Linked DNA regions of Drosophila melanogaster. The protein of the gene in region 1 interacts with the protein of each later gene in a pairwise test. Each region holds a gene or a part of one and is shown in the gene's direction. Other genes may lie near its edges. The genes, in order: CG10949, teq, Fer1HCH and CG14315.

Region 1 (7,468 bases):
CGTACTTTGCGATCTTAAAGCGATTGTGCGCGAACTCAAGTCATCTGATGTAATATTATTAATTACTCAGGATGCCGTTCGCCAACCAAGTTGATTTGGGAGTGTTTGAGACACAGGCAGGTTTATATATCCCGAGAATGCCACTTTACCTCCACGACATACATATCTATAAATATGTGCACGAATTAAATGCATCCACAGCAAAAATATTGAATGCCAAGGATGATTTAAACGAACATTTGCTCTTGGAGCATTGTAGACACGAAAAAGATCTTATCCTTAGCATGTAAACTTTGTCTCCGAAGACGGGAGTCTTATAAAGGAATGTAAAGCTATCAGGAGCTATTGTAGGCGAACACAAGTCATCTGTTATAATATGCATAATTATTCAGGATGCCGTTCGCCTTTGCATTTGATATTGGAGCATTTGAGACACAAATAAAAATGGATTAAGTGTGCCACTTTGACTCCAATCCATTTTCATATGAACAACGAATGTATTGTGAACGAATGTATTTATCTATGGAAATATAATTATATCCAAGATGATTTAGACGTTCAATTAATATTGGAGCATTGTAGACACGGAAAAGAAAAATACTTTAGCATGTAAACTTTTTCTCCATATGACTATTGAAGCATTTTGAAGTTGTGCACGAACACAAGTCGTCTGTCTTAATATAAGTAATTAAACAGGATGCCGTTCGCTTATAAAATTGATATTGGAGCGATAGAGACACAGATCAAAGGAAAGCTATAAAATATGCCACTTTAACTCCACCCAAATATTTAATTAGTTGTTGTGCAGTTGGCAACCATCTTAGGCAATAAAATAAATCGAATAAGACGATTTAAACGAACAATTTATTTTGGAGCATTGTAGACACGAAAAAGAAGCCACATCATCTTCAACATGTAAACTTTGTCTCCCGAGGCATTATTGGTCTAATAAATCGAATACTATTGTAGTCGAACACAAGTCATCTGCTATAATATGATTGATTATTCAGGATGCCGTTCGTCCTTTCGTTTGATATTGGAGCATTTGAGACACAAGTTACAGGAAGATCGTAAGACGTGCCACTTTGACTCCAGAATATTACAAAAGTTGAACATTTTATGGCAAATGTACACGAACACAAGTCATCTGTTATAATATGATTGATTATTCAGGATGCCGTTCGTCTTTCTAGTTAATGTTGGAGCTTTTGAGACACAGATCAAATATTGTTTTTGAAGAATGCCACTTTGGCTCCAAAGCCTAAAATTTGCAATAATGTACACGAAAGTATTTATCTTAAGAAACAAAAAGAATTACTCAAGATGATTTAAGCGTTACAATTTATATCGGAGCGTTGTAGACACGGAAAATGGAGAATCTTTAGCATGTAAACTTTGTCTCCCAAGAATACAGATAATAGGGGAGTAATATTGAAACTATTAGTTTTTATGTACACGAACACAAGTCATCTGCTATAATATGATTGATTATTCAGGATGCCGTTCGTCCTTTTGGTTTATTTTGGAACATTTGAGACACAACAGGAGATTTTTTCCAAGTATGCCACTTTTGTTCCACAATTTATAACTTTTATTGCCTTAATTTCAGGCATTACACTGCAATCTTATCGGGAATAAACTAATGGCATCATAACTATTAGCATTTAAATACATTTATTTATGTGAGATCTTAATCATTCGCTACCAAACACAAATACCTCTTTCTGCTGATAGTGCTGTTAGTACAATAAGTTATTTTACTAATTTTAATAATTTTGTTAGTCTGTAAGCTTCGTCTAAGCTTCTTCTAAACCGTTTAGCTTAAACATATTTCTTTCGTAACACGACTCCTTTGATAATGTTTCTTCAATAATAATATCCTTTTTCGGGATTAGGAACAAATAAATACTAATATTTTCGATCATCACAAGCGTATGCGTTTGAATGCACGTCAATGGATGAGTCAGTTTTGCAGATTTTCAGCACCGATGATGCGAATAGCGAGTTGTAATGAATTAACTAATACGCTGTCGACGTAAGGGGGCTGCACTGTACTTGGGTACGTGTGTGGGAGGGAGAGAGCTGCAGCGATGAGTGTTCCAAGGCTGGAACTACACCCAAATTTATTCCCGAGGAAAGAGAGAGCTAACGAAATTGATAACAAAGCCGACTGGTGATAACAGAACGGTGGGGAATGCAGCATAGAAATCAAAATGGTGGAATGGAAATTGGGGAAACGGGACTGGAAGGCATTGACTTACCCAGCCTGGGCATTACGGTATTTGACCAGCAGCGTCTCCTCGATAATCCGATTATTGATTTCCAGCAGGATCATGGCGGTTGAAGTTAACTGTTATTTTTAGTGTGCCAATTTCGATGACAAATTATATGACGTTGACTGCCGCTAATGGTGCTGCTGCTCGCTGCTTCTTCTTCTGCCGCTCCCTGCGCTCTTTCTGCGCTCCGTTGAGTGCGAGTAAGACGGTGCGCTGCTCCAACTCACCAATACTGGTGCATGACGGGCGTATTAATGAATCAACAACAAAAAATGGGCGCTGATGTCGGCTTTTTTGGTCCGTCACACACACATGGACGCACTCTCGCCACACACACGGGCGAATTCCAATGCTCACACACACAGTTGCAAGAAAATCCACCTTATCCTCTTTTCGCGCCTCCAATTTCCAATCGCCAGTACTTGCAGCGCGCACGATGCAGTGCAAAATCGGTCTCAGACCGTAATACTTATAAAATTATAACAAAACGTGGATGGAAAACGGGGAGCACGCTGCCGTATTTTCCTTGCTCACAGCGTTGCCAGGTAGCACAATAGAGATGGGGCAAACTCACCGATGGAAAGATTGAAGTATCGAGCTATCGACCATCAATGTTATCAGGTTACACAGAAATTCAAACCAGCAGATTTTAACAAACATAAAGAGAATTTTCTTTAAAATATATAAAATAGAATATATTTTAAACGAAATTCGTACACACGAACTTTAAATTATAAATATGTATTAAGACATTTTAAGACAAACACACAAATATTTTATTTAACATTGTTATAATAACGGTGCTATAAAACTAAGAGGCACATTTTTTTAACAGAATAATCTGGCAGCCCTTTTTGTGCGATGACCCATCGCCTATCGACTATCAATATTTCCCGCCAGGCTGCCGGATCGTTCAGAATAAATAAAAACAAATAATAGCGAAAATCAATGGACGACGATGAGCTGATTAAATTGATAGAGAGACACCCGATCCTGTACGACAAGGACTGCGCGAGGAGCGTGAAGAATGCGGCGCAAAAGGACGCGGCCTGGAAGGCCATCTCCCAGAAGTTAGGAGCCTCGGAACGGGCGTGCATTACGCGCTGGAAGAGCATTCGCGATCGTTTCGGCAAGGAGTTTCGCCGTTTCCAGGAGCGTCCGGATGAGCCCACCTACTGGGACATGTTTCCGCGACTGCTCTTTCTCAAGGATCACTACAAACAGGGACTGGCAAGGAACGAGAGTCTCGACGGGATGCGTTTTGAGCCCAGGGAGCGGAAAAAGCGCACAAAAGTGGACATGGAGCAGGAGAGGCGGAGAAAGGACGAGGAGGAGGAGGACTCCCAGGATGACCTGCTGAACGAGCAGCTCATTGAGCTGGTCAAGTCTCATCCCGTGCTGTATGATCGTCACAAGATCAGAGTCTCCAAGAACCTAGCAGCGAAAAACGAAGCCTGGCGAGAGATTTCTGAAAACCTAAATGTGTCGGGTGAGCTCGGGGTAACCCTCTTGATCTTCAGCCCTTAATGCCGATAATTTTCAATAGAGGAACTTTGCTACAACCGCTGGAAGAAGCTGCGTGATCGTTTCGGGCGGGAGTTCCGCAGTCATCAGATCAACCAGTCCACGCCCATCACGTGGAGGTACTTTAACGACCTTCTCTTTCTGGGCCGCCACTTCCGCAAAGGAGTGCCCCTGGTTTTGGAGAACATCAAGCGACGTGGACGACCACCCAAAGCAGGAAATCCTTCGGGAAAGACCAGCAAACAGCCGGAGGGAATGGTGATCTCCAGTGGTGAGCAAATCTGGGGCGCTGATTACCCCTACAGTACGGACAACGACGATCTGGAGGATGATCTTGAGTTGGCCTACGATGAAGAGATTGAGATACTATCGGAGGCGGAGCAAGCAACGCCGTACGATTTTATCCTCAGCGAAGCGACGGCACGGCAGGACTTGGAGCCACCACAGCAGCTCCAGGTGACCACCACCACGCCGGCCACCAGTGAGGAAATAATTCACACAATCGCCAGGGTAAATCCCGTCGTAGAGGAGTCCTCCTCTCTCCCTGGGGACTCTGTACCGTCTGCCGCCATCTCCGACAAACTGTTGACCACCGTGATTGCCAACATGGAGACCGTGCTTCAGCAATCCCGGGAGCTGCAGGCCCAGATTCACCACGAACAGGAGCAGGAGCGAGAACAGCGAAGTACACAGCCTGCCAACAGCCTGCTTGCCAAGGCTCAGATGCTGCTGGACGGACTGAGTCCGTCTGAGCGGGCAAGTGCCGAGCGTAAGATCGTGCAGTTCCTGTGCCAGTGCCAAATCAAAGCCCTCGATGGCGAGGAGATCGAGGATGTGGCACCTTGTCAGGTCATTAACTGAAATTAGAATGTTGTAGATTAGCTGCAAAAGTATTACGAAGAAGGGTTATTACATAAGTGTAAGCATGAAAATATCTGTAAATAAATAAACTTACTAAATATTGTGGCTCAAAAGGCAATATTGAAAAAGAAAGGTTTGAATATTTGTAGATTTCAAATTGAGTTGTTTAAATTACCAGTGCTGAAAAGCATTGAAATGCGTAACCACAACCATCGCCATCAAACGCTACCCGCCACCAGAGGGCGCTGAATTATTCAAATATTTCGGTTACGCGAAAATTAGAAACAAACATTTCATACCGACCAAAAACAAAAAACAGAAATAAATAAAAGCGCCCACGCCGACACCATTTATTGCAATTAATAACGAACAAATTCGCGCGTACGCAGCAGATGGATAAACAAATCGCTTGGCGTGCACTTGGCTCTTGGGAAGCGCGAGTGCCAACAGATTCTCGATTCGCTTAGTTGCCGCCTCCGGTTCGCACGGTGCAGTTGGTCGGGACCCAGAGATACCGATCCAAATCCCATTCTCATGCGAGCAGGAATCCCTAGTTGTGCGTCAAAGAGCGCCGCCTGAACTCTGAAATTATTATTAAGATAATAAACGCGAGCGCCTGCTAAGTGCCTGCGAATGGTTCTTCTCGGGCATAAACTTGTTTCTTGTGTAAATAAACGAAGTGCGCGGCAAGCGTTTGAAGTTCTGGCCGGGATCCGGATTCCCCGCGTCGAGTGGTGCGGCCCAAGCGGATGGATGAAGAGAGTGCGCCCGTCGCTGTGACACCTGCCGTCCATCCTCCTCGTTAGACCGAACCCCATGTCATCGCTCCATGCCTTGGCGGCCATTAGCTCGATCATCGGCATTGGAGGCGGCACCCAGGTGGTCCTTTTGGCTGCTTTTAGACGCACTAGATGCATTCTTTGTTGACACACAGGTAAGTGCATCCAGACAAGTAGTGTCAGTTGGGATCAGCTATTCCATCTACTCGTAGAGTTACCAGGCTAAACTAGACTCATTAGAAAGAATGATACATGAAGAAGAAAGCGTCTCATAACCTAAAGTCCGTTTGTCCGTTTATCTGTCCGAATAAAAGTCGAGATCTCTGGAAGTATAAAAGTATGAATCATACGAATTGCAATTTTGCTTCGGAATATGGCAAAAGAATGTCTTCTTCCATTTTCGAATATCTTTATCTTCCTCTCGTATGTAAGTTGGGTGAGAGGTATCTGATAGTCGAGTATTTGACTATTTTTAAATTCCTTTTCATTTGCTTCATTTATTCAAGTGAAGCAAGACAGAATACAATAGTCGATTTCCCCGACTATCAGATACCCATTACGTAGTGAGTGGAAGTGAGAACGCAAAATTTAATAATATTTCTGGCATATCGATATAGTGGGCGTGGCAAAAAGATTTTTTTATATAAAATCGATAGAAATTTAAAAGACTAATAATAACAATATAAAAAATATAATGCAGTTTTTCAAATACAGTTCTGGTCGCAATACATATAAAAGCTAGAACGTTAAGCTTTATAGTTCCTGAGATATCGACGTTCAAACGGACACAGGTCAGATCGACTCAGCTATTGATCCTGATCAAGAATACTTTATATGGTCTGAAACGCTTCCCTCTGCCTTTTAAATACTTTTTAACGAATCTGGTATACCCTTGCACTCTACGAGTATAAATAAATAATAAATCTTAATATGGAAATAAACGCATTAAATACAAGTTCAGCGTACTATATTGACAACTGGGTGAACTGGCGTGGGTAAATATCTTCGCTTCTTCAGTGAACTGCAAGCTGGACGTAATGCATGTGCAGCCATAGTGCACGTGCGTGATATTTTTAAAGCCCAAATGCAAATGTCGCTGCAACATTTAAAGTTCAAATCAGCCGCAGACCTTTGACCCGACCTCGAATCACCTCGGGCATCGTGGGTGGCACCATGTACAGAACTGCCACTTTGTCACATCATCGGAGGTCGAATCATCAATCACCATGGCCGTGGGTGGATTTGCCACGCCCCCTCCCGCGCACCCGGCCGTCTGCTGCGCACTGTATGCAGTTGCGATTGTCTGCGAAGAGAATTTGTATAATTGCCAATTGCCGCGGATTTGCTCAATTGCAGAGACCAAATAATATTCAGCATACGCCGTGTGTGCCAAATTAATTGTAATACATTTCACCGCAGTGCCATGCCAACACACATACGTATATATAGCCTGTATTTATATATATATAGACTAGAGAGAATCGCATAACAATAAATCCAAACTGAAGATTTGCGCCGCTTTGGAGCACCGAGTTTCTGAGTTGTCTGTGAATTTGGTGAGTTTTGCCTTGGCTCTGTGCATCGGTATATGTATATGTAAGATTGTTTATTATTATTGTTTATTATTAATTTAATTATTAGTTTAATTCTAAATGCGGTAATTATGTAAAGTATTCTTAGTTTGTGACCGAACGACTGCTGCTGAGAACTCGACTGCCTGCAACGCTGACTTCCACTCGACTCCACTGCTGCCTTGCGATCGTTCCTTCGATGACTGATTGTCGATAACTTCGATTTCCGACAATCATGTTGCTGCTCAACAGCGCTGCCAACCGGGTTGTTGCCAGCCTTCAGCCTTACTCCATGTTACATTCGGCCCTCCTGATCATCATCATCCGACCCGGATGACAATAGGTCTGCATTTTCGGCTATGTACTTCCACAACTTCATGTTGTCACAGCTGGTGGATGTGACATTGGGTCCTTCGACGTTTGCTGCTTTTTTAACGTCATATCTGCCATTGTCTTT
Region 2 (8,387 bases), on another chromosome or scaffold:
CGCATTTCTGCAGCAGGGTCGAGTCCAACGAGAGGATGGGATAGTGACTAGGATCGTACTTGATGCTCGCGAGTGTCAGCTGCAGCAGTTCCTGTGGTTTTCCCATAGCCTTTAGAAAATCATGGCCATAGTATGAGAGGGCCTCGATGGCTCCAAGGTCCAGAAGCTGGCAGGGCTGACGCTTGCGGCTTAAAAACAGAATCAACGGCTCCACAAAGCATCTGTTGGGATTGTCAGGATATCTAACTATTGAACTTTTTATTTATTTCTAATGGTACATACTGTTCGATGGCCAACAAGTGCTCGCTATGCATGTTTCCGATGGCAACAAGGCCGACATTGTGGGTTTGGAAACGCAATTTCTGGATGTTATCACAGTGCGCCACTCTGTGGGATGGAAAATGGTTAGGTTGAGTCCTCATTGGGTTTTCTAAAGCAAACTTACTTGTATAGAAGTCCTCGCATTTTCTGGATGTGAACTGCATTTTGAAAGTCGAAGACTACTATCAGTTCCATGGCCAAGTTGGCCATGGAGCGATGGAAGAAGGCCAACTGATCATCGCATCCCACATCCAATTGAAAGCGAAAGTTTCTAAAATAGCTGAGGGGTGAAAAATAGGTAATGATTAATTATATATAGATGTAAATACTAAATTACAAAATTGGGCTTATTTCTTTTCTATTTGTTAGTCCAAAAGACCAATATAATTAATTTAAATAACATAGGAAAATTACTATAAATACAATAAATGAATCAGCATAGAAAAGGTAAGAAAAATAAGTATCTTTCTCGCAATCGCTAAGATCGCAATTTACAGCTCACAGCTTATCGCATCAATTAATTTAATTAATTGCATTTATTGGCAGGGGAATTCCTCTTATCGTGGACTTTCCCCTTTTTTCAACACTAATATAAACAAACGGACCTAGGTGCTTGCCCCCACACATTGAAAGCTTGCCAAATGCGAAGAGTACAACATATAAATGTCGAACAAGTTTTGGGGTCTACGATTCGTTCTTGCTTGCACAGATGTTTTTTTGCGCTTGATTAACCCACGGCTATATAATGTAAGGGGCAATAACAAAGGAAATATACCCAATAAGTACTGAAATTAAACATTTCAGCCACATACACAAATACCTACACCCACACGGATACGGACACACCCACACAGTGACAAACTTACCGTTTTTGAAATAAGGCATGTCTCCAAGAAAAACATACACCCGCTGCCGACCGACGATCCTGGGGATTTAGATAGTCGAATATGTGATTTAGTGCCACCGATGGTATTCTGTGCCATTCTGGTTGGCGTTGGCTAAAATTCATTACTCGATTTAAATGTTAATTGCGTTTCAAACAATGAAAAGTTGCAAGTGCAGCCGAGTACGCTGCACAATTTAAAATGCCAAATTAGAGTGACCGTCGCACGAGGTCGCAAATATGCCAAGACCAAGAAAACAAATATGAATACAAGCACAATTTTATCTTAAGCATATACGTATGAAATTAAACGTCAATTAAAAAACAATTTATGCACTTAAATTAGGTCTAGCCATTTTAAGTAAGCCGAGATAATTATTAATTTAGAAATTTCAAAGTGAGTAAAAATGCAAAGGAAATAAAAGTGTTGCTGTCGTATAAAATGACTGTATAAATTTTGTTATTGTTCTCTTATCAACGATTAAATGATTTCAAATTAATAACTGCATTTCAATGTTTCCTAATTTCGGATAGCAAAAAAAGCATCGTAAGTTAAGGGTTAATGCAACTACAATGCCTAGCTACGGCCACACTGATTGAAGCCGTGTTATGGTAACAATCAGCTGTTCACAATGATAACAACTCGCACTGCTGATTCTATATAGTTGTTTACGTTGATTATTAGTTTTATATTAATTAAAAATGTCAGCTTTGCTTCTTTTACGCACCTGTAGAAGTTCATCAATTGCTGGCATCTACAAATACACATACCAAGGAACAACTATTGCGAATCACACATGCAATCATCGTCTGTCGTCTACAGAAGCGGCGGCCGCGAGTGTCCAACTGGCAAATGCCGGTGGATTGGTGGGATATTGGCAGACCTTGTCCAACAGCACGCCGGTGGCCTATATGCAGGATGTTCTCATTAAGATCCACGACTACAGTGGCCTGCCCTGGTGGGCGTCCATCGTGCTGTCCACTTTCCTTTTTCGGAGCGTGGTCACCCTGCCTCTGACCATTTACCAGCACAAAATCACCGCCAGAATTGAAAAGATAGCGCTGGAGATGCCGGCCATTGTGGAGGAACTGAAAAAAGAGGCAGCCATGGCCAAGCACAAGTTCAAGTGGAGCGAAAAGCAGACTCAGATTGTTTATCGGCGTTCGGTTTGTTAAAATTCAAATGTTTGCGAGACACTCTTCGTCATGTCAATTATCTTACAGATCAAGAAGCAGTGGCAGAACCTTATAGTTCGGGATAACTGCCATCCCATGAAGACCATGATTGTGCTATGGGGTCAGATTCCCCTGTGGATCTTTCAATCCGTGGCTCTGCGCAATTTAGTGTACATGCTGCCGGATCCCACGTCCATTCAAGCTCAAATCGTGACCACCGAAATGACCATTGGCGGATTTGGTTGGATACCAAACCTTACGGTGGTGGATAACTCTTATATCCTGCCTGTAGCATTAGGTCTTATCAATTTGGCCATCATTGAAGTGCAAGCCATGTCTAGAACTCGTCCTTCTACACGCTTGCAGAACATCGCCAACAATGTGTTCCGTGGATTGAGTGTTGTGATGGTTCCAGTAGCCTGTACAGTGCCTTCAGCTTTATGTGTATACTGGGTAGCTTCCAGCAGTTTTGGCCTTGCTCAAAATCTGCTCATCCTCTCGCCGGAAGTGCGACGATCTGTGGGAATTCCCAAAACACAAACGGAACTCAGTGAGCCGTACGATCTGCTCTGGCTAAAAATACAGCAGAGGCTAAGACTTGCCGAGAGGGCGCCGGCTGATAAGCCGGCAGCCAAATGATCTAGTCTCTTAGTCATAATCACCTAGTCTAATTTGGGTATGACGTTTAGTTTGTTTAAATGCGACTGCGCCACTGTAATTCATCATCATCATTCTTAAGCTCCAACATCTCAGATTCATAGAAGTAAATAAATGAGTGAAAAACCCCAAAAGAAATGCAAACAAAACAAGGCGATAAGACAGCAAAAAGGTCTTGAGATTACAAGCCCTGATAGTGTGGTCCACTCAATTGGTTTGGCGACAAACGAGAGCATCTATCAGCGGCGGCAGAGATAGAGATTCATCCCGAGTCCAATTGAATTGAAATGCGATCTGGGTGTGGGTCAGTCGAGCCTGGAATTCGAACGGGATCACAACGAAGAATTTAAAGCGCGAGAAAAACAATTGTGTAGTTGCTATCAGCATCGGTGCATTTTAAGAAATATTTAAATTCAAATACTTATAAAGCGGAAACGTAAAATGATGGCCAAGTGGCTCCTTGGCCTTTGGCTGGCGATCCTGCTAGTGGATGTTAGTGTAGAAAGTTTATTAATAATTTCAAATTGTGTTTTTTAAGGATATCATCTAGATTCTAGATTATTTACAATTTTTTAAGATTTTAGTCAAACTAAAAATGTTGTTTAGGAATTTAAAACGCGCTTAAGACTTTAATTTTAATTGAACTTAATTACAAGCTATTAGCTAAATTTTGCCTCTAATTACTTACGGTTGTTCAATAATATTTCATAATTGCGCTTTTGACAGCGACCCGGGGCTAAAGCTTATCGATCAGGCAGTGGCTACCACAGCGAGCAGTCGGAACCAGTTGGCTTATCAGCAACAGGGAACGCACACTCGAGTTACGGAGGCGACCAGCAGCAGCCTATTTACCATCGGGATTCGGCATGCCCGCCGCATTTTACGGGTCTGGTTGCATATCCCCACGACTGTCATCGCTATGTGAACTGCTTCGATGGCAGCCCCACCATTCAGACGTGTTCGCCCGGAACTCTGTTCAATGACAGGACCCAGGTGTGCGATCATCCCAGCAATGTGGTTTGCCCTTCAGCGGAATCTGCATCTACTCGACTGGGAAGACTTAGGCAATTAGATAGTGAACCCAAGTGTCAACCGGGAGTGAATGGATTGCAACCGCATCCTTCGGATTGCAGCAAGTTTCTTAACTGCGCCAATGGTCAAGCTTTTATTATGGACTGCGCACCAGGAACTGCTTTTAGTCCAGCATCACTGGTATGTGTGCACAAGGATTTGGCCAAATGCGGATCGGGAACTGGAGCAGTACGAGATGATACCTCCGGCACCGGTACGTATGAGTGATTTAAATACAAAAATCTTGACTAACACTCGGTTAGGCTACCCTGCGTTGCCTTTTGATGACTTGGGCTGTCCACCCGGTACACGTGGGCTTCGTCCACATCCGCACGACGTGCACAAGTATTTGAGGTGCGGAATTGGGGTTAAGCCTCAGGTGGAACAGTGTCCACGGGGCCACATCTTCGATGGCTCCTCTTCGGTATGTGTGTATTCTGACTCCCCTCGGACCTCCTGTAAGTGTCATTTCATTTCTTATCCCTACTGCTTGGCCTCGCTTGATTCATCTGCTTTTTCATTTCGGGTTATTTTCTCATATTACGCTGTACACGCTTTGCTTGCCTGCTTAGTTGATAGACTCTAATCCTGATCCCTTTGAATTGTAACAGCTTCCTCCTTCACGTCGGCTGAGATTCAGGTCAACTATCTCTTGTGTCCAGTGGGAGCCGTTGGCCAATTTGTTCATCCCTTTGATCAAACAAAATTCCTTAGTTGTAAGGATGGTAAATCGGCTGTGCAAAACTGCCAACCTAATTATGTGTTTAGCATATCGAGGCGCTACTGTCAGTTAAAAGCACAATTAGCCTTTACCGACTATGTCACATTAATTATCTCCGAAATCAGCTATGAGTATTGTAAGTTACTTTATCATCACTGTACACTAGAATTTATGATAATATTTTACTAGCACTTATCCTTAATGCCTGTCCTGGTAACATCAACGGCATCTTCTTGTATCCCTACGATGCTAAAAAGTACGTTCAGTGCTCGTCTGGTGGCAGAATGTCCATCCTAAGTTGTGGCCCCCAGATGGCATTCAGTGTATCCCAAAGAAGTTGTCTTCCAAGTCATCAAGTGCACATATCTGATCGGGTGCAGTTCTGGCAGGAAGTCCAAGTTCAGACCACTTATACTTCTCAAGACTTACGGGGAAATGTTCAAAGCCAGCTGTCTTCACTTAGATCGTGTCCACCCAATGTCCAGAAGAATTACCCTTATCCATTCCATGCTGGCCACTATGTCAGGTGCCAATATGGAGCATTAGAGATCATATGCTGTCCCACTGGACAGCTTTACAGCCTCTCCCAGCGTCAATGTGTGCCTCGTAGCCTTCTCTCTGCACATGATTACTTGGATTACTCCTATATCAGTGCTGAACTTTCCAGTAAGCATCTCAAGGAATCTTGATGACTTGGACTTGATTTCAGACCACTTTTTCGTTTACAGCTGAGTTTATGGTGGATCGTTCGACGCTTTCTTGTCCTCCACAAGCACAGGGACTCTATCTGCATCCCTTCGATTGCACCAAGTATGTCAGGTGCTGGAATCAGCAGACCTTCATTGAGAGTTGTGTAGTATGTGCCTATGCAATATTAAGAACAATTAAATAAAATAGCATATTAACTTATGGCAGCACTTTGTTGCTATGTTTATGTTTATGTTTATGCACGCAGTTAGGCCAGGGCGGATGTAACATGATCACCCACTCGAAGGCCACAAAGTATAAGTGCATTGCCCACTCGAAGGCAAAAAGTATAAGTGCATGGTCAGCATTCACACGCCGACCAAATACATATTACATACGTACATACATATCTCGCTCTCCCGATAAGCCTAGATATATAAGATATACATAAGAACGCCGCTCCGCTGCTGGCGTACCCGGCAGCGCAGCTACGCGGATTAGCCTAAGTCCAAATATATAAAAAACTGTAAAATCGGAGAGACTCTGTAGACGTTGAGCTGACAGAACCATTTCTGCCTACTCTAAAATCAAAAGAAGAAATTGAATAAATATATGTCAGCCCGACGGCTGCCTTCAACTTAAAACGGACTTGTGTTCTTAATTGGAGTTCATCATTACATGGCGACCGTGACAGTCGTCCAACGCTGGACGAATTGACCAAAGCTGGTGAAAACAAAGGAACAAAGGAACACTGGACTGGAAGAAGACTGGACTAATTAAATGGAACTGCAAAAACCAAGGAAAAATCTGAGTGAGTAGAGTTCTATTGAGTATGGGCAAACACCGTGGCGGTTTGAAAACTAAGCTGAATAAACGTATAGCCCACGTAAGGTGGCTAATATACGGTCAGCAAACGCCACCGGTTTGGTCGAAAGCTCTAAAGCTACATGCAGAGCTAGACCACTTGTTGCAATATCAGCAAGAATTAAAGACCCATAAGCTCGAGAAAACTCACTCAGATAATATTAAAAATATACCCACAATTAATGAAGTTCCAAAATACCAGGCATGTCCAGCACCAGCACCAGCATTAACAAAACCAAAGAAGTCCTGCCCCCCTGGCTGCGAAGGAATCTGGAGTCCCCACTGCCTGGGGACTTGTGAGCGACCATCGACGTCTTCAGCGGCGAAGAAATAGACAGCAGCGAGGGAGTGTCAGCGTGCCACCCCCGGCGACGCCCAGCTGACACCTGATGAGCATCATCAACAGCAGAATATAATAATAAATATATATAAATATAAAGTAAATATAAAATATATATAGATAAGAAAAATTGTAAGAAATATTGTAAAACGGAGCATATACTATTATGCCCTGTTAACCCAATATGGCCCGTGAAGCCATAGCTAGAATCAGGCAGGCAACAATGTAAAATACAATTTTTTTTTACTCTTGCGAACATTGAAAGATTTTATAAATAGATAATTCCAAACATAAATGTCTATAGAGACAAATGAAATAAGTAAAACTGAAAATAAAAGTATATACAAAGGAAATTTTCTATTCTATTCTCCAAAATATAAAATTAGTATACCCAAAATGGGTCTAATAGACACTAAAACTGTGGACTCTACAGCCAATGTAATAAATAAAGTAGAAGTCCAAAATGCAGACTTGTTCTGGATAACCATAATACTAATTGTAATTGCATTAATTATGGTATCCAATGCATTAATAAAAATATACAAACTGCATAACAAGTGTCTTAAGAAACGATACCGTAGCACTGCTAACGGTATAGATAATATTTAAGGAAGATCTTTAATAAAGTCAATTATGAATGAAAATATGAGAAAAATTATATGAAAAAAAAAATAATAAATAAAAAAAAATATAAAACGTAATATTGAATTTATCTACATTAAAAAAAAAATATATACAAATGAATAAATTTGAAGTTATGAGTATACCACAGCATGGACTGGGAAAAGCTTGTTGATCAGATAAAAGATCAAAATGAAAATTTCAGAAAATCCTATAAGTGCTTAACGCAAAACAGATCAACACAAGCTGTAACAATCAATAGGAATGCCCAAGTCTTGGTAAATAGTTATAATGAAATCAGAGAGTTGATCCAACAAAATAGAAAGAATTTGGAACGCAAACAGTGTGCTAAGGCTTTGAACCTACTGGTGACATTAAGAGAAAAATTAATATTTATAAAAAATAAATTCAGTCTCCAGATAGAAATTCCAACCATAGTAAACACCCCACTAAGAATAAATTTGAATGAAGACAGCACTAACTCTGACGAGGAAGATAGGACTATAGTCAAGGAAGACATTAAAGAGGAAGATCTTCACGATCTAACTATACCAGCAAAATTAATGCTGAAGAACGACGATAAAACAAATAACGCAGCCGACTCCGAAAATAACTTAACCATGGCAGAAGAAGCAGCTGCCATTAGGTCTTACATTAGGGAAGTCGCCTGCACAGTGCCAGAATTTGATGGGCAAAAGATCCATTTACAAAGATTCATTAAGGCAATCAAATTGGTAGACCTAGCTAAGGGACCATTTGAAGACATTGCAGTTGAGGTCATTAAGTCAAAAATAGTTGGCACAATTTTGAACTCAGTTGACAATGAAACGACAATTCCAGCAATTATAAACAAATTGCAGAAAGTAGTTGTCGGTGAGACATCCAGTAATGTCAAAGCAAAGCTAGCAACAGTTCAGCAGAGAGGTAAAACTGCAACGCAATTTACCGCTGAAGTTGATAGCCTGAGAAAACTTTTAGAAGCTTCCTATATCGATGAGGGTATACCTCTAGAACATGCCACTGGTCTAAGCACCAAAGAGGCAATT
Region 3 (7,717 bases), on another chromosome or scaffold:
GAGTCTCCGACTTAGTCAGCAGACGGCCAAGATGGCGCCCGGCGGATCTGCTCCGGTTCCGGAGCGGCAAAGCCGTGTGCACCAGGCAGTGATAAGGCGACAGAGAGAATCTCGCATGGAATGACAAACGTGGCCCCTTCGTATCAGCGGCGGAGGAGTGTATCACTGATTAGATAGTCGGGCTCCTTTAAGCCCCACAGATCACTGCGAGAGATAGGTTTCACTTTTCACCATCGATTTAGGTTGTCAATTGAAAGAAAGTAATAAATTGATATTGAGATAGATAGATCCCACTAGATCCTAAGTGATTCCAGTCTCTGAATGGTCAAAAAGATGATTTTAAAATGGTAACGTAGTTTGCATACAATACTACGATATTTACAACATGGGTTTACATTCTCATTTATTTATTTATTTTTAGACAAGCGTTGATGGCTTGTACATAAACATATGGTTTTTAGTTGAAGGCACATTCTAAGAATATCAGAAACCACAACATTATGGAACATTACACCCGTTGTGATCGCAGAACTGAGTAGTTTCCGATACCATTTCGACTTTGTATATTTCATTGTTCCATATGATATCCAAAGTACACTGCCAGCCAGCCCGCAATCAGCAGCACTCGGAGAAAAAACGCAAACAGACGCCCCTCATTGAGGACCAGATACATTTCGACCCAAACCCAAACCTTATCAGAGAGGCAAAAATGCTGCTGTTTTACTAGTTGATAATTAGGTTCTTTGATGTGTTTATTATTTGTTCAAGCGGTAACGTACATACTAAAGATACATTTGCTGGGGCGAACTTGCTAACTTATTTATGATAACATTATCACAATCTGGTGTGCTGGTAAATCAAGGTGAATTTCGCGGTGTAAATTATTCACTTGTGGCTGCTTTGATAATGCTGCTGCTGCACTGCGATTTATTGATGAACAATCCAAGGAAACAAATTTATAAGGGAATTATGAGAGCAATTTTGAGGAGACAGTGTAGGAGCGTGTTAGAAAAAGAAGGAGGAAAAGGAGGTGGTCTCCACTCCTTACTGCTTCTGCAGATACTCGTCGAACAGGTAGACGGACAGGGATGGGTCGGGGACCTTCATCAGCTTGGCGAGGTCGTTGGCATAGCCGGACAGCTTGCGCACGCTCTCGGCCTGCTTGCCCAGGAAGTTCTCCTCGAAGTAGTGGGCCAGCTCGGGATCCCTCTCGGCGTCGGTGGCGTGGGTGGCACGGGAGTGCACGTGAGTGGCTCCGGTGGCCAGCTGCTTCTCGGTGTCCAGAGCCAGAGCCAGGGAGTGCAGTTCGTCGACCTCAAGAGTGCCGCGCTTGGTGCTCACGGAGCCGGAAGACTCGTGGCGGGTGTTGAAGTCAACGATTCCTCCGCGACGGGTCACCTGCTTGATCAGGGCAATGCTGTCCTCGAAGGAGCGGTCCGAGAGTCCCTGGTACAGCTTCTGGAAGCCGGGGCGGTTCTTCTGGTAGGAGTTGAAGTGGGTGGCCAGCAGGAGGTAGTCGTACGACTTGGCCAAGTTGGCGTTGATGTAGGACTGGATCTCGGGCTCAATATGGTCAATGCCAGCAAAACGGGCATTACAAATGGAGTTGGCTACGGGGAAAAAGCAAATAATAAAGATCACACTCTTAGAATAGGAGAGCAGAAGCACATCCAATAGTAATGACATAGTCTTAATGGTTCCTAACTAGGTAGTGCCATACTAAACAAGGCAATAGAATTTTGAATTTGTATTTGTATCTTTAAAATAATAATGTAAGGGCCGTAATGCAGTAAGAATTGGAAAGTGTTCATTTTCACGAAATCTGAGATAGTGCAGAAATACATCCAATCTATATTTCACTTACTCTTGCCTGTGAAAAAGCCCGTGAGCGCTTGTTTTTATTATTATGTTTTACAAAGATACAAAAAGCAACAACACAGATTAGCCACTCTCTCTTAGAGGCGCTCTCTTTACTCACCCGAAAAGGCTGACGTAGAGCATGCGGTGATTACAGTGTTCTGGCAATATTCATCATCCTTGGCCAAGGCAAGAGAGCCGAGGCACGCAAAGAGAGCGAGTGCAACGAAAAATTTCATGTCGACGGTTTACTGTAAATTAAAATCAAATTCGAGAGGCGAAAACAAAGGAAATTAGTTTCACAACAATTGACAATTGGAAAACAGACACTTTTGTTTTCATTTTGGGCGAGTTTTTTCGTTTTGCGTCGTAGCGTTTTCTTGAATTTTCTGTGCTCTTTTTTAACAACAAAACCACCACCAATGGAATGTTTTGGTTTTTAAATTTATATGGTGGTCGGTTTAAAAACACAGTTTCCAGAATATTATTTTCTAGTTTTCGTAACTAAACACTCACAAAGTAGTTAGTTAGTAATATTAAAACTCACTTCCAGTGCCTGTGCTTTTATTAATAATTCAATCGCTTTATGTGCTTCTTGGTGAAACTCTGAAAATCAACTGCTGTTTATAGCGTCGCGTACGTCTCTTTCTATGCGATCGATATGGCTGTGTGTGTGTGGTTTTGGAGAGCGTGCATGGGCATGTGTTGTTTTGCGCTCAGTGCGGGATTTCGGTGTCATTCAAATATGGCCGCTGCCAGTGCTGTTGTTGCTGCGCCTGCTGGAAGGTGACTCACGACAGGGTTGTCAGCGTGTGCAAAATATGGACGCTGCACTTTGGATTTCAAGTGGTTTCCTGAGAGTTTTATCAGCTAACGATGAGAATTGAAAATAAACTGCAGATAAACCATCTACCTCCTAAGATAATGTTTTAAGTTTTGATATATTGGTAATTCACAGCAGCATCGAGCTTGAGACTGTTGCTATTTACAATACATATTATTGCTGGGTTCGGAGATAATGTAGGGTTTCCCCAATCAACAAACAAATTATGTAATTTGTAAGTTTTCCCACCATGTATCCTTCTTATCAAGTGTCATTCTTGGAGCTCTGCAAGCGACACGTAAAAAAGAGCCGTCGCCATATTAGCAGTTATCAAAGTGGGTGACTGATCCCCCCTTCGAACGTGCAAATCAACTTGACAAAATGTGAATTAAATTGTCAGCAATAATTAAACCGCCTGGCAACACATGACGTGGTGCTCTCCCACGGCCAAAACAAAAACAAAGAACAGCTGATGCGCATCTCAAAAGAGCGGCCATATTGCATTTGATAAATTTACTTCTTAGTAAGTGGGGATTATCTGACTAGGAAACCCGACTTTATACAAAGTATACCCATATTGAGGACGTGTGTATCACATTGAGTGCGGCAATTATCGGGAATATTCAATTATCAGCCATTTAAACGGTTAACAAAGAACGGGCGACATGTTGAAAAGATAACAGTGCACACTCTCCCATCACTCACACACACACGAAGAAAAACCGAGAGCGCGCGCGCTTAAAAGTGTTTTGTGCGCCGTTCGGAGCGACAGTTCGCTTTCGAGTTCGCTAAAACACAACGTAGAAAGGCCTTAGCTCCACTGAAAAATCAGATTAAAGCTGTCAGCAGAAGGTACTGGAAAGCATTCGAGAAGTCGAAAATAATCCCAATCAAGCCCATCAAATTGAAGCAGGCGACGCCTTCTGCGCCAGTGTGTGTAAAGGCAGCTAGATTTTCAATTTCAACGCCTATTTAACATTGTAGCTCAACTCGAGTCGCCTCATTCTCATTTGTGCATTTCAAGCAAATCAAACTAAAGTGAAAAACAAATTTTTGTTCTGTGATTTTGTGTAAAGACTACGTTCGACGATCAAAGATGGTGAAACTAATTGCTAGCCTGCTCCTGTTGGCCGTGGTGGCCCAGGCCTATGGAGATTTCAAGTGTAAGTACTAATGTTACGTTTTATTCATCAGAATTTCAAACAAAACAAAGGCAGGTCATCGGAAAAAAAACAATAAATTTCGACGCAATACGCAAAGAGAAGCAAAACATTTGTAATGCGTTGAAAAGAGCATGCGCCGTTTCTCTTTGACGCTCTTTCACTCTCTTTCGTCAATGAAGTGAAGTTACCAAACCAGTTGATTTAAAAGTTATTGATACTTCCGTTGCGCTTTGGGGAAATGATAACCAGTTTTTATACATAAATTTTCATAATTAAATAATGCGAATTTCGCTTTCATTTCCATGAATATTGCGGTATAAATAAGCTTGACTTTTTGTTGTTACATTTCAAGGCGCTCTTTGCACACGGCTTTTACGGGCCGAGTGAGCTAGCATGGTGAACCATGCTTTTTGCACACGGCACTACACGAAAACAAATGCCGTTACTATGGCGGCGAGAGCTGCGCACGTTACCAATGCAGTTACAAAAACAGAGAGAGAGAGTGGGAGAGTAGGCCATTACAGTTTTGCACACGGTTTTTGTGCCCTAGAATAGCGGCATTTCAAGCGCAATTTCAAAGGTTTATGCAATTACGCCCTCTTAAATGCAATAACCAACAACGCCCTACCCCTCAGCCAAGCAAGAAAGCAAGAGTTTCGTGAGAGAGCTTCAAAGGGAGCGAGAAGAGCATCAACTAAAAGAAAAACAAAACCTAAGCCATGAAGGTCAAGACCAAGAGTGCAAAGGTTTTTAAAATATTAAAATTTACCTAAGTTCTGATTACAAAAATAAATTTTTTAAAGCTGAATACTAGCCATATATTGTTATCGTGGTCCCCCGACTTAACCCAACCTTATCCCATTGCAGGCTCCCTGGCTGTTCCTGAGATTACCAAGGACTGGGTGGACATGAAGGATGCCTGCATAAAGGGCATGCGCAATCAGATCCAGGAGGAGATCAACGCCTCCTACCAGTACTTGGCCATGGGCGCCTACTTCTCCCGCGACACCGTCAACCGCCCTGGATTCGCCGAGCACTTCTTCAAGGCCGCCAAGGAGGAACGTGAGCACGGATCCAAGCTGGTGGAGTACCTGTCCATGCGCGGTCAACTGACCGAGGGAGTCAGCGATCTGATCAATGTGCCGGTAAGTCGACGACTCGCCTAGAAAACCCAAAAGCCCAGCTAATCCTGGCGAATCCCCCACAGACTGTGGCCAAGCAGGAGTGGACCGATGGTGCCGCCGCCCTGTCCGACGCCCTCGACCTGGAGATCAAGGTGACCAAGTCCATCCGCAAGCTGATCCAGACCTGCGAGAACAAGCCCTACAACCACTACCACCTGGTGGACTACCTGACCGGTGTCTATCTGGAGGAGCAGCTCCACGGACAGCGCGAGCTCGCCGGCAAGCTGACCACTCTCAAGAAGATGATGGACACCAACGGCGAACTGGGCGAGTTCCTGTTCGACAAGACCCTGTAAGGAGGTGGAGATAGAGAAGGCGCAGCGCCCAGTCACGCATCAAAATTATCAGCCAGTCGAGTTATCTGTTATCTGTCAGCCCAGAGAGCCTTCCCGAGGGTCCGCTATTAAATCATCACCAGCCAAGTCGGCGACTGGCCAATAAATTATCCGTTCGACTGCGATCCTCAAACCAGCACAGCAAAATTCCACGTCTGTTCTTTCTTATCAACCACTTGTGATTTCCGTACACCTCGGGAGGGGGCTCCACATTATGCAATCGCCGAGATTTCGCCTAGGCTTAAGTGGAATCGCTCATTCGCATAGTAAGACACTCAGCACAACCCATTCAATACATCCTATATCTTTATATTTTTCTGTCAATTAGACGAGCAAGTTCTTAAATAAATAACAATATATATGTAACGAAATAAACTGTATATGCGTTTGTTTTTGAGGGAGTTTTTTCAGATGGAAAACGAGGGTGATTTTATTCTTGTTGATAATTTTCGATGGGGATTTCACAGAAAAAGTGCTATATCTTGGGAAAGACACGTCCAATTGTGGAGTGGAATACCTCGTTGAACTTGTAAAAATATTCCTAAACGACGGGTAACTCATTTAGAGAAATTTTTGGTTTGAAAATTTTTTCGATTTTTTATGATGTTACCCCTTACAAAAAATGCGAAATTTGGCCGAAAAATTATTTTTCCAAATTAAAGCAAATATTGATATGGGTCTTTAGCTGAGGACCCCAGCTGACTAAAAAAGTGCGTTTTTCAGCCTTGTGACATATTTTGGCCAACTTACAACGAAAAAACTGTAAAAAAGGTGTTTAAAACTGGAATGTTTAAGGAAAAAGAAATTGTGTTTTTGGGAATGGTGAAGTTGTAGGTTATTTCGTAAAATCACAATAAAGCAAAACTTTGTTTCTACTCTCTGTTGGTTCAGTAAGCCTATCAGATTACAGAGGTCCTTGGAGAGTTGAGTAGAGTGCGGAATCAAGTGATACGCCTTACAATTGATACACTTAATATTTGGATCTACTTTCGCTAATTTTTGCTGTCTTCCCAACTCCAATTTGCTCAGAAGATAATATTGCAATCTCTCTGTTAGCCGATTAACCCTTTATTGTCCCACGACAATGCACTTGATGAGCCGTATCTGGGATCACGTCTCGCCTGTCCATCGTCCGACGTCCATCAGTGGGCAGTGTCTAATGGTTGTACGCATCGCATATTCCGTTTGATAAATGTCAGCATCTTCGTCTCGAGTCCCATTATTGACCCTTTCATGTGGTCCCCTCCCAGCGGTGGTAACCCCGTACTCTTAACCCCTTACCATGCTAATCTGATTGGAAAACACAAAAAGCCAACCATAAAGAGGAAGTAAAGCGAGACGCTAACTGCACTGCAAAAAATTGTATTCACTTTTACTATATATCACGAGGTTCTTATAGTAATTTCTTCCCCTTTGCTCAAATATTGTTATAAGTAATAAACTAGTATTTAGTTTTCAGTGTGCTACTTGCAGATGGACAGGAGCAAGTGCACGGAATAATTCATAAGTCACTTGTAAAAATGTCCACAAACACATCGGCCTTATCCACCCCCTGCCCTGCGGCTAATGTGTGCTCGATTCACCCCTTCGATGTCCATGTCCACGTCCATGTCGATTCGAGTGATTGACAGGTCATGCCATGCATTGAATTATGATAAATTGTGGCAACTGTCAAAAGGCTGAGCTCGGGTTTCCCGCCCACCACCGCCATCTTCGACCAGATTTTCCGTTTTCCGGAGCGTGACCGAAGTGAATGGGTTAGTGCGTGGCATTTTAAACAATTTCATAAGCTAATATTTGAGCAGATGTCCTTGTTCGTTGCGGATTTAAAATTGCATCAATCCTCTCGACAATGGGCCGCAAATTTTTCGATAAGCGCCGCAAATATTTAAGCGCAATTCGTTCGATTGACCAAAAAGAAGGGGCGGAGTTTTTCGGGTGGTGTGTCCAGCATACAAATGGCCCATGACCTTTGGACCCACTATCAATCTTGGCCAAAGGAGACAAACTATTGTTCATGCCTTTCGACCAATTTGCCAATGATTTTTATTGCCTTTTTTATAAATGTTGTTTCTTAGTACCCTGCATATGATCTCAATATTTATTTACAAGCAGAAGCACTTGTATTCTTGCAATGTCCTTTGACTACAGGGTATCTTAAAGTCGTATCGATAGAAAATAACTTTTTTTTGCATATTTTTTTAGTTACACAGATAGCCAGCCAATTTGGCAGTGAAATATTCTGGACAGGGACGTGCGAGTGATTCATCCTGCGCATATCCTTCAGATAAAAGTGCCTGCACGCTTATCGCGCTGACATTTGTCCTGCTCCTCGTTCGCTGACAAATTTGCAAC
Region 4 (6,924 bases), on another chromosome or scaffold:
ACAGTGATTGTTTGTGCCACATATTCGATTTCTCCTTTCTGGCTGACATAAAAATCACGAATGCATAGACTCTAATAACTTTTGTGTGACCTCTGTCTGCCCTTGGACCCGCATTCCTTCCATTCCCCCAGTCAGCGAGGAGCTGAGCCAGTTTCCAGATCCCTGAAAGCTAGTCCACTAATTCGTTTTCACACTTTTCATTCATCGGACAGGTCGAAATGGCTGGCGGCGAATTGGCAGCGCCTAATTTCATACGCCAGTCCAAGTTCTGCCACACAAGGCAAAAATTTATAATAAAAAAAGAAAAATTGATATTAAAAGAGCATTTGTTAGTCGGCTACTTAGAAATAATTTGGTAAAAGTTCTAAAACCCACTTATAGACACAGTGATGAAGAAAACGCCTTCAGTTTATTGCTGCATACTTTTCGACAGCTTTTGAGATATATACCTCAAGGATATTCATGTGATTTTCTTTCAGTGCACATGGCACCCGTCGCCAGCCGACTAATATTTATATTTGCCCTGCATTTCTCACTCCGCCGATTGCCAGCGATTTGATAAGCAAATGGAAATGCAGTTCGCTGGAGAAAGAGAATAGTGCTGACGATCGGAGGAGGATTGCTGGAGCAGGAGGGAGCAGGGGGGCGGGGGGGTTCTGTCCGACGATGGCGGCGAAAGGTGCAAATAAATAATTTGCAGTAGCCGGGCGGCGACCACTCGACGACCCACTGTTGGCCTACCTACCAACCAACCAACCGACTTGGCCAACTGAAACCCCAACTTCGCTCCATCGAAAGCGACGGCCAGACAAATATTTTATTGCAAATTTGCTGATATTGGACGACAGGCGGGCACTGGAGCAGTTTGTAGTGCTGCTGCTATGCTCTTGTCCGGCTGTTTTGCATATTAAATTTATTTTATTGAATATAGCCAAAGATTTAGTTAGATACGCGAGGGTGGATCGTGTAGTATTCAATCATTAAAACTAATTATATCAGAAGTCAAAAGCCTAAACAATGTGATTGAGTTGAAACAATTTTACTACTGAGTCTGCATTTTTAGTTGGTAAAACCAAACTCCGACTAGACTAGCTAATAAATGTGCTATTTTAATAGGCTCTTTCTAGCAAGTAATTGCCGAAGAAACACTGGAAAACTGCTCTAATAAAGTGGCCCGTAATCGACTGGAAACCTAAGAGATTTTCCCCCCAAAATTACCGACCGTAATGTGCGAGTTTTGCGAACCGCCCTCTTGCTGGCCGGCATGTGCGCTTTTCCAGCTCATTGTGATGGCCTCTCCACCGGGTTAGCTGTGTGCAGCCCCCGCCGGCGTTGTTGGCGCATAATTGCCATCGGATTCGGATGGTGGATGGAGGAGGCCCAGCGGGCGATGAATTATTAATTGCCGTTGATTTGCATTGAGATCGGAACGGTTCGGGATCATTACCGCGACCGGCAATCTTGCCGAGCGTACCAATCTTGCATATAGTGTAAACATAATAATCAACGGGCATTATATGCCGATATTTGCCGATATATATATATTACATACATATGCATGTGGCGATCAGCAGAATGCGCTTTTGCAAAATGGCCGGCGGTCAGCGCGGCCCCCAATTGACACCTGAGCGGCCGAGCTGCCTATTATTGCTATTTGCGCTGCTGTTGCTGCAGTTGCAGCTGTAATTGTTATTTATGCACTTGCATTTAGCCGACTGTATGTGGCATGTGGAGCAGCGCATAGCGGCCATGCCCCCTGGGATGGGCGTAACGCCAGCAATTTGCAGTGCTGCGCCAACGATTACGTAACAGTTGGGAACACTTAATTGTGGGGCGAAAAGCGACCCACAATGATGATCAAAATTAAAGTGCACTTCGTCATTATCAGTCGGAAGAAAAGAGGGTTTAGAATCCCCGATCTATTTTTATTCCTCAAAATTAAGAGCATATAATTATTAATCACAAATCACCGACAAGAAATCTTCAAATGTCAAGTAAAACTCCAAAATATATATATTTTTTGTTAATAATTAAAAACATCCCGACGTTTACTGTGTATACATATTAAATCAATATTAAATATAATTACCTTGATGCAAATACAAATATTTGGATTTCTAAACATTACCAATTAGATTTTCCAATTGGACTTTGCAGTCTAGTTGGACACACACGGACGCACGCACACGCGCAAACTTCAATATGGCGGCCGCGACAAAAACGAGACAGAAGATCCTTCTGCTGATCTTACAAAATCGGATAAATAAATAAATTTGCTAGTTTTTTTTTTGTTTTGGGCAGGGCTCGCGTGCTTAAGTTCAACTTGAAAAAGTCGCAAGTGACTACTGTGCGATCCCTGGAATCTCAAGCGGGAAAAAAATAAAGATAAAATGTGTACACAGGTACATACATACATATGTACATACATATATGTATTTATGTACGTAAGGAGCAGCTGCCCTCTTTTGTTGTTGCACTTAAAGTCGCTAAAATGCGGTGCGTTCGCTTGTCAAAATTGCAGCAGCATTCAGCCTTTTTTATGTTAAGAAGCCACAAAGAGATGACGCAGTCGAAATGGTTAAATGAATTAACCCTTTTACTTTGCACAAACACACACACACACATGTGCTTGCAACAGGCAATACAGTGGCTACAACAACAATAGCAGACAGGGCTTTGTGATTTTTCTGGCCGTTCTTGTAGTTTTTTGCCCAACACACGGATTAAGCTACACCCTCGGAAAAATATTCGACACAAAATCACGCGATTTAAACTAAAAAATAAATAAATAACACAATTGCGCGGAAACTTGGGAATACACGGCGCTAAGGATATCGATTACTTATTACTTATTACTTTTTATCGATTCGCATCGTCGGAGCATTCGCAGGGTACTGCCAACTTATCTCAATTTCCTAAAGGTCATTGAACTCAAATATATATATAAAAAAACGAATGTAGCATTGCATTTATAGCCATTGATTAATATGAAAGGAAAGTATGTATAAAAGTGCAACCAGTATTTGAACTTGCATAAGTTAAAAATCAAAAGTTAGCTTAGGTCCTATGATTACACCAATCTATTTGACCAAAGTACATAATTAAATATTACATCCAAAATTCAATTGTTCCTGTACAAGTGTACTAACTTTTTGGCGTTTCATGAGCGGCTCGTGTGTACAAACATTTATTTAAATGCTTACCCCCACCCCGTAGCCACTTCAGATGAAGCTGGAGCTGGAGCCGAATCTGAAGCTTGGAGCTTGAAGTTTGGAGCACGGTGGAGAATTGCGCGTAAATTCGTTGCGGTCTGCGCGTCATCAACGTAATCGCCGTCAACAGCAGTCAACAGCATCAAACTGGCAGGCAAATGTTGCTACTGTTTCCAGACGCAGTCCGTCCGGCCAACAGAAGCAAACGAAGCAACAGAAGCACCAACCGCCGCAGTGAAGTGGTTTTTTATGATCAGACGAGATGAGCCGAGCCCAAAGCAGCACTTTCCATCCGAGAAAGAAACCGAGGCTACAACAAAAGCGTGTCTTTCGAGTTCGCTAATGGGAACTACATATATGTATGTACATACATATGTACATTCCGGGTACAAAGTGCATTTTGTGGAAACCCTTTGGGCAGAATGTAAACCATTAACAAATTGTAGCAGACCTATGGCCTATACATTTCTTATTTGTTTTAACTGTTTTGACTCTTATAAATGAACATATTTTCAAGAATCTGAATTAAATTGTAAATTAGTAGAATGAAGCTCTTTCGAAACTACCTCGCTTTGCTCCTTCCGTTTGATCATTTGACCATTTTTGACCATTTGCTTTAGGTTATGGCATTTTGTCCATTTCGTATTGGTCATTCGGTTTTGGCCATTAATTTCGTTATATCATTTCGTTTTTGTCTTGCTTTGGTTATTTCGTTTTGGTCTTTCATCTTAGTCAGTTCGTTTTGACCATTCGTTTGGGCCGCTTATGTAGTTTTAGCCAAATCTTTTTGACCAAATTGACTTGAGCTTAGTTCCTGGCTCTACATATTCTGTTATTTTTTTTTTTTTTTAATTTTTGAGCTGGAATTAAAGCGTTTCACTTCAAACATAGTACACCTGTCGCACAGACTTATTGTAGTTAGTTTTGTCAAGCGTTCGAAGCGACTGCAGAAATGAGGGTCTACTTGTATCAAATGCGCCCGGTGCTCTTTCTCTTCTACATGGTGGAGACGACGGCCAACTTATTCGTTTTGTACTACCAACTGAAAGCATTTGTTTTCGTCAATCTGACAACGATGAAATGGGAAGATGTTCTAATCCAAAGCTTTTATATGTCCTTCTTTTACATATTCACAGTGGTAACGCTCTTTGCCAGCATAAATCTCTGCACCGGTCATCGCACATCGATCGTTGAGGAAGTTGTGCGTCCTCTGATCGGATTTGTTCTATATACGGTAATATCGTTGATGGCACTGGGCGATGCCGAGACGGATTTCTATATATGGTATGATGGAAGGAACCCGGATGATTTACTATATCCGGAGAAGCCGCTCCATCCGTTCTTCGGTAGCCTGCGGGACCAGGCGACAGCCTCATTGGTGTCCAGTGTTATCTATCTGCTGCACTGCCTCATTGCGTTGGATGTCCTTCTGTCGAATGACGATTCGGATAACGAACGCGAGTCATCCAATTCCTCCGACGATGTGAACGAAGAGGTCGACTACGTTCCAGTGCGTCTGTACGTCTTTGGCGGCGTGATGCAACGCTGGCTGGAGCAGTTCGACTGGTTTCAGGACTTTACCCACAGTGGAGTCACAGATATCTGATATTTTATCATTAACTTCATTTATACAACTACAAATTACATGATAAACAAAACTTCGCATCGCTTTTCTCGGTGATTATGCAGCCTTTGGATTTTGGTTACATTCGGTGCAAGAAACCCTAATCATCAGCATTCCCATGACGTCAGTGGGAAGCAACAGTTCGGTCTCTGCATCATATAAAGCTCATTGTCGTCAATGTGCCAGTGATAAGCAGCTGGGGCCAAAACATCTACATAAGTACGCGTATCTATAGTATCTATGTATCTTGGTACGAGTATCTGTATCTGCTAGTGCGCAGGTCCAAAGTTAAAGCGAACAATCGATATATGTACTATGATGTTTGGGGCAAAGCGGCAGTCAAGAGCAAGGTGAAGCATTGCCCCGGTGCTCCTGGGTGTGGTGCTTTTTTCATTCATAAAAAAAAACTGGTCCACATGACATGTGGACACATTCAAGGCTATTTCTAGACCAGACCAAGGATGTCCTTATGCCTCTCATAAACTATGCAATATGATTAGAAAGTCTGAATGTTTAGAATTAGTTTTATAAACTCACAAACTTCGGTGGATCAAAAAGTTTGGCCAGGTGAAGCTAATACTATGGCCTACTTTTCGGGGTTATTTTAATAATATGATTATTGCTGCCATGCTTTTGTATAAACAAATCAATTTCACACTCTTATTAAGTAACATTTTTAAGTACTTCCCCTCTTATAAAGCTTGAATTTTCCATACGGAAACCCAATTCAATCTTAAATGCTACAATTTAAATAAAAAATCACATAAATACTCGACTTTAAACAGAAGTCAAACAAAACAGCAATAAATCTGCTCAAAAATCACGCTTAACAAGAAGAAAAAACATATTTTCCGCCCACGCAATAAGCGAATGTGAAAATGTACATAAATGCGAGAGGGAAAATCGATAAGGACGCCATTCCGCAGGAGCGTCGTGTCCTTGAAATCGAAAAAGGGAAAGACCATTCATGAAGTTGGCCGAACTTTTCATGAATGAAAACGGCCAGCGAGGAGAAAAGTTGACACATTTCGGTGAGTTTGCGCACCATAATGTGCGAATTTTCCAAAGGGGAAAATGTTCTCTCTCCAATTTCACTGCGAAAACTTCCCCATTTTTTCCGGCCACTGACGCAACCACAATGCGCTGTTCCAAGGTCAGCGTAAAATTTCATTCATAAAACTGATACGCCCCGCGGCGTAGATATACATGTATATATATCCATGGCGCGTGTAAGTTCCCAGAAGGTGGTCATGGTTGGGGGACAGGAGGTTAGAGCTGGATGTTGGGCGCGGATTTGGGCCTGAGTGAGCACTCCATTTGCAGCTTGTTGATTTTTCTACGCGTGCAAACACAAACAAAGTGGGAAACCATTTCATTCATGAATCCAACTCAGGGGGAGGATTGTGGGGATGCTCCAAACTTCTGATCCCAAAGATTTTTGGGTGGAGCTCGTCCAGAAAACAATTTCGCGCTAAGCTGAAAGCAATTTTCGCCCCTAGGAATTTGTGGTAAACTTAGTTTAGCTTGGCTTTCATTCAGCTGGGAGTCAAATCTTGCTAACTTGAAAATGTTAAAGGTTATTGGTTAAATGATGCGTATTTGTAAAATAAATGAAATTGTTGTGTACGTCACATAGATTTTATGTTTTAAATTCCGTTCAGTTAGATTCGATTTTTGCCAAGTTGAAAAGTATTTATTACACAATCTGATGGTAACGTGTCGTATGAGTAATATTTTTACATAACATCGCCAAGTTTTTGTCCTTTGCCTGTATTTAAGCCACCTGTATCCACAATTTACAAGATTTCCCAGCAGTCTGACCACGAAAAGTCCTCCTGGTTACATGGTCATCCGTGGACATATCATTGACATACCAAAGTTGAATCCATTAAAAAATATAAGTTATTTGTCATAAATAAATAATCGAAACTGTTTAATATTGTATTTCTTATAGAATGTTATGTACAATAGCAAAGTTAACTTTCTACTATTATTCCATAGTGAACTAAATAAGTTTATAAAATGGATCACCCCACCTAGTGGTAACAAATAGTTTGGACAAAAGCTATTGAGTGTTTTTATTTTGCA

The links.
Region 2: the proteins of CG10949 (region 1) and teq interact in a two-hybrid assay, tested with the Drosophila melanogaster proteins (one large-scale study listed by BioGRID).
Region 3: the proteins of CG10949 (region 1) and Fer1HCH interact in a two-hybrid assay, tested with the Drosophila melanogaster proteins (one large-scale study listed by BioGRID).
Region 4: the proteins of CG10949 (region 1) and CG14315 interact in a two-hybrid assay, tested with the Drosophila melanogaster proteins (one large-scale study listed by BioGRID).

What each region holds. Positions count from the first base shown.
Region 1 is NT_033779.5:20,412,461-20,419,928, reverse strand, and holds CG10949 (uncharacterized protein), read left to right. Parts: upstream 1-3,010; 5' UTR 3,011-3,224; coding exon 3,225-3,765; intron 3,766-3,822; coding exon 3,823-4,661; 3' UTR 4,662-4,756; downstream 4,757-7,468. Other genes in the region: Arpc2 (Actin-related protein 2/3 complex, subunit 2), read right to left, coding at 2,262-2,335.
Region 2 is NT_037436.4:9,071,301-9,079,687, forward strand, and holds the start of teq (tequila), read left to right. Parts: upstream 1-3,342; 5' UTR 3,343-3,478; coding exon 3,479-3,529; intron 3,530-3,763; coding exon 3,764-4,322; intron 4,323-4,371; coding exon of another isoform or gene 4,372-4,566; intron 4,567-4,719; coding exon of another isoform or gene 4,720-4,965; intron 4,966-5,018; coding exon of another isoform or gene 5,019-5,495; intron 5,496-5,557; coding exon of another isoform or gene 5,558-5,721; exon of another isoform or gene 5,722-6,156; intron 6,157-8,387. Other genes in the region: CG4911 (uncharacterized protein), read right to left, coding at 1-221, 283-387, 446-601, 1,188-1,330; CG4942 (uncharacterized protein), read left to right, coding at 1,907-2,371, 2,429-3,019.
Region 3 is NT_033777.3:30,383,590-30,391,306, reverse strand, and holds Fer1HCH (ferritin 1 heavy chain homologue), read left to right. Parts: upstream 1-3,687; 5' UTR 3,688-3,776; coding exon 3,777-3,843; intron 3,844-3,897; exon of another isoform or gene 3,898-4,195; coding exon 4,196-4,204; exon of another isoform or gene 4,205-4,423; intron 4,424-4,478; coding exon 4,479-4,589; intron 4,590-4,710; coding exon 4,711-4,988; coding exon of another isoform or gene 4,989-5,009; exon of another isoform or gene 5,010-5,050; coding exon 5,051-5,323; 3' UTR 5,324-5,505; downstream 5,506-7,717. Other genes in the region: Fer2LCH (ferritin 2 light chain homologue), read right to left, coding at 1,045-1,610, 1,865-1,891, 1,979-2,096. UniProt on the Drosophila melanogaster protein: Stores iron in a soluble, non-toxic, readily available form. Important for iron homeostasis. Iron is taken up in the ferrous form and deposited as ferric hydroxides after oxidation.
Region 4 is NT_033777.3:18,154,606-18,161,529, forward strand, and holds CG14315 (uncharacterized protein), read left to right. Parts: upstream 1-4,095; 5' UTR 4,096-4,164; coding exon 4,165-4,818; 3' UTR 4,819-4,866; downstream 4,867-6,924.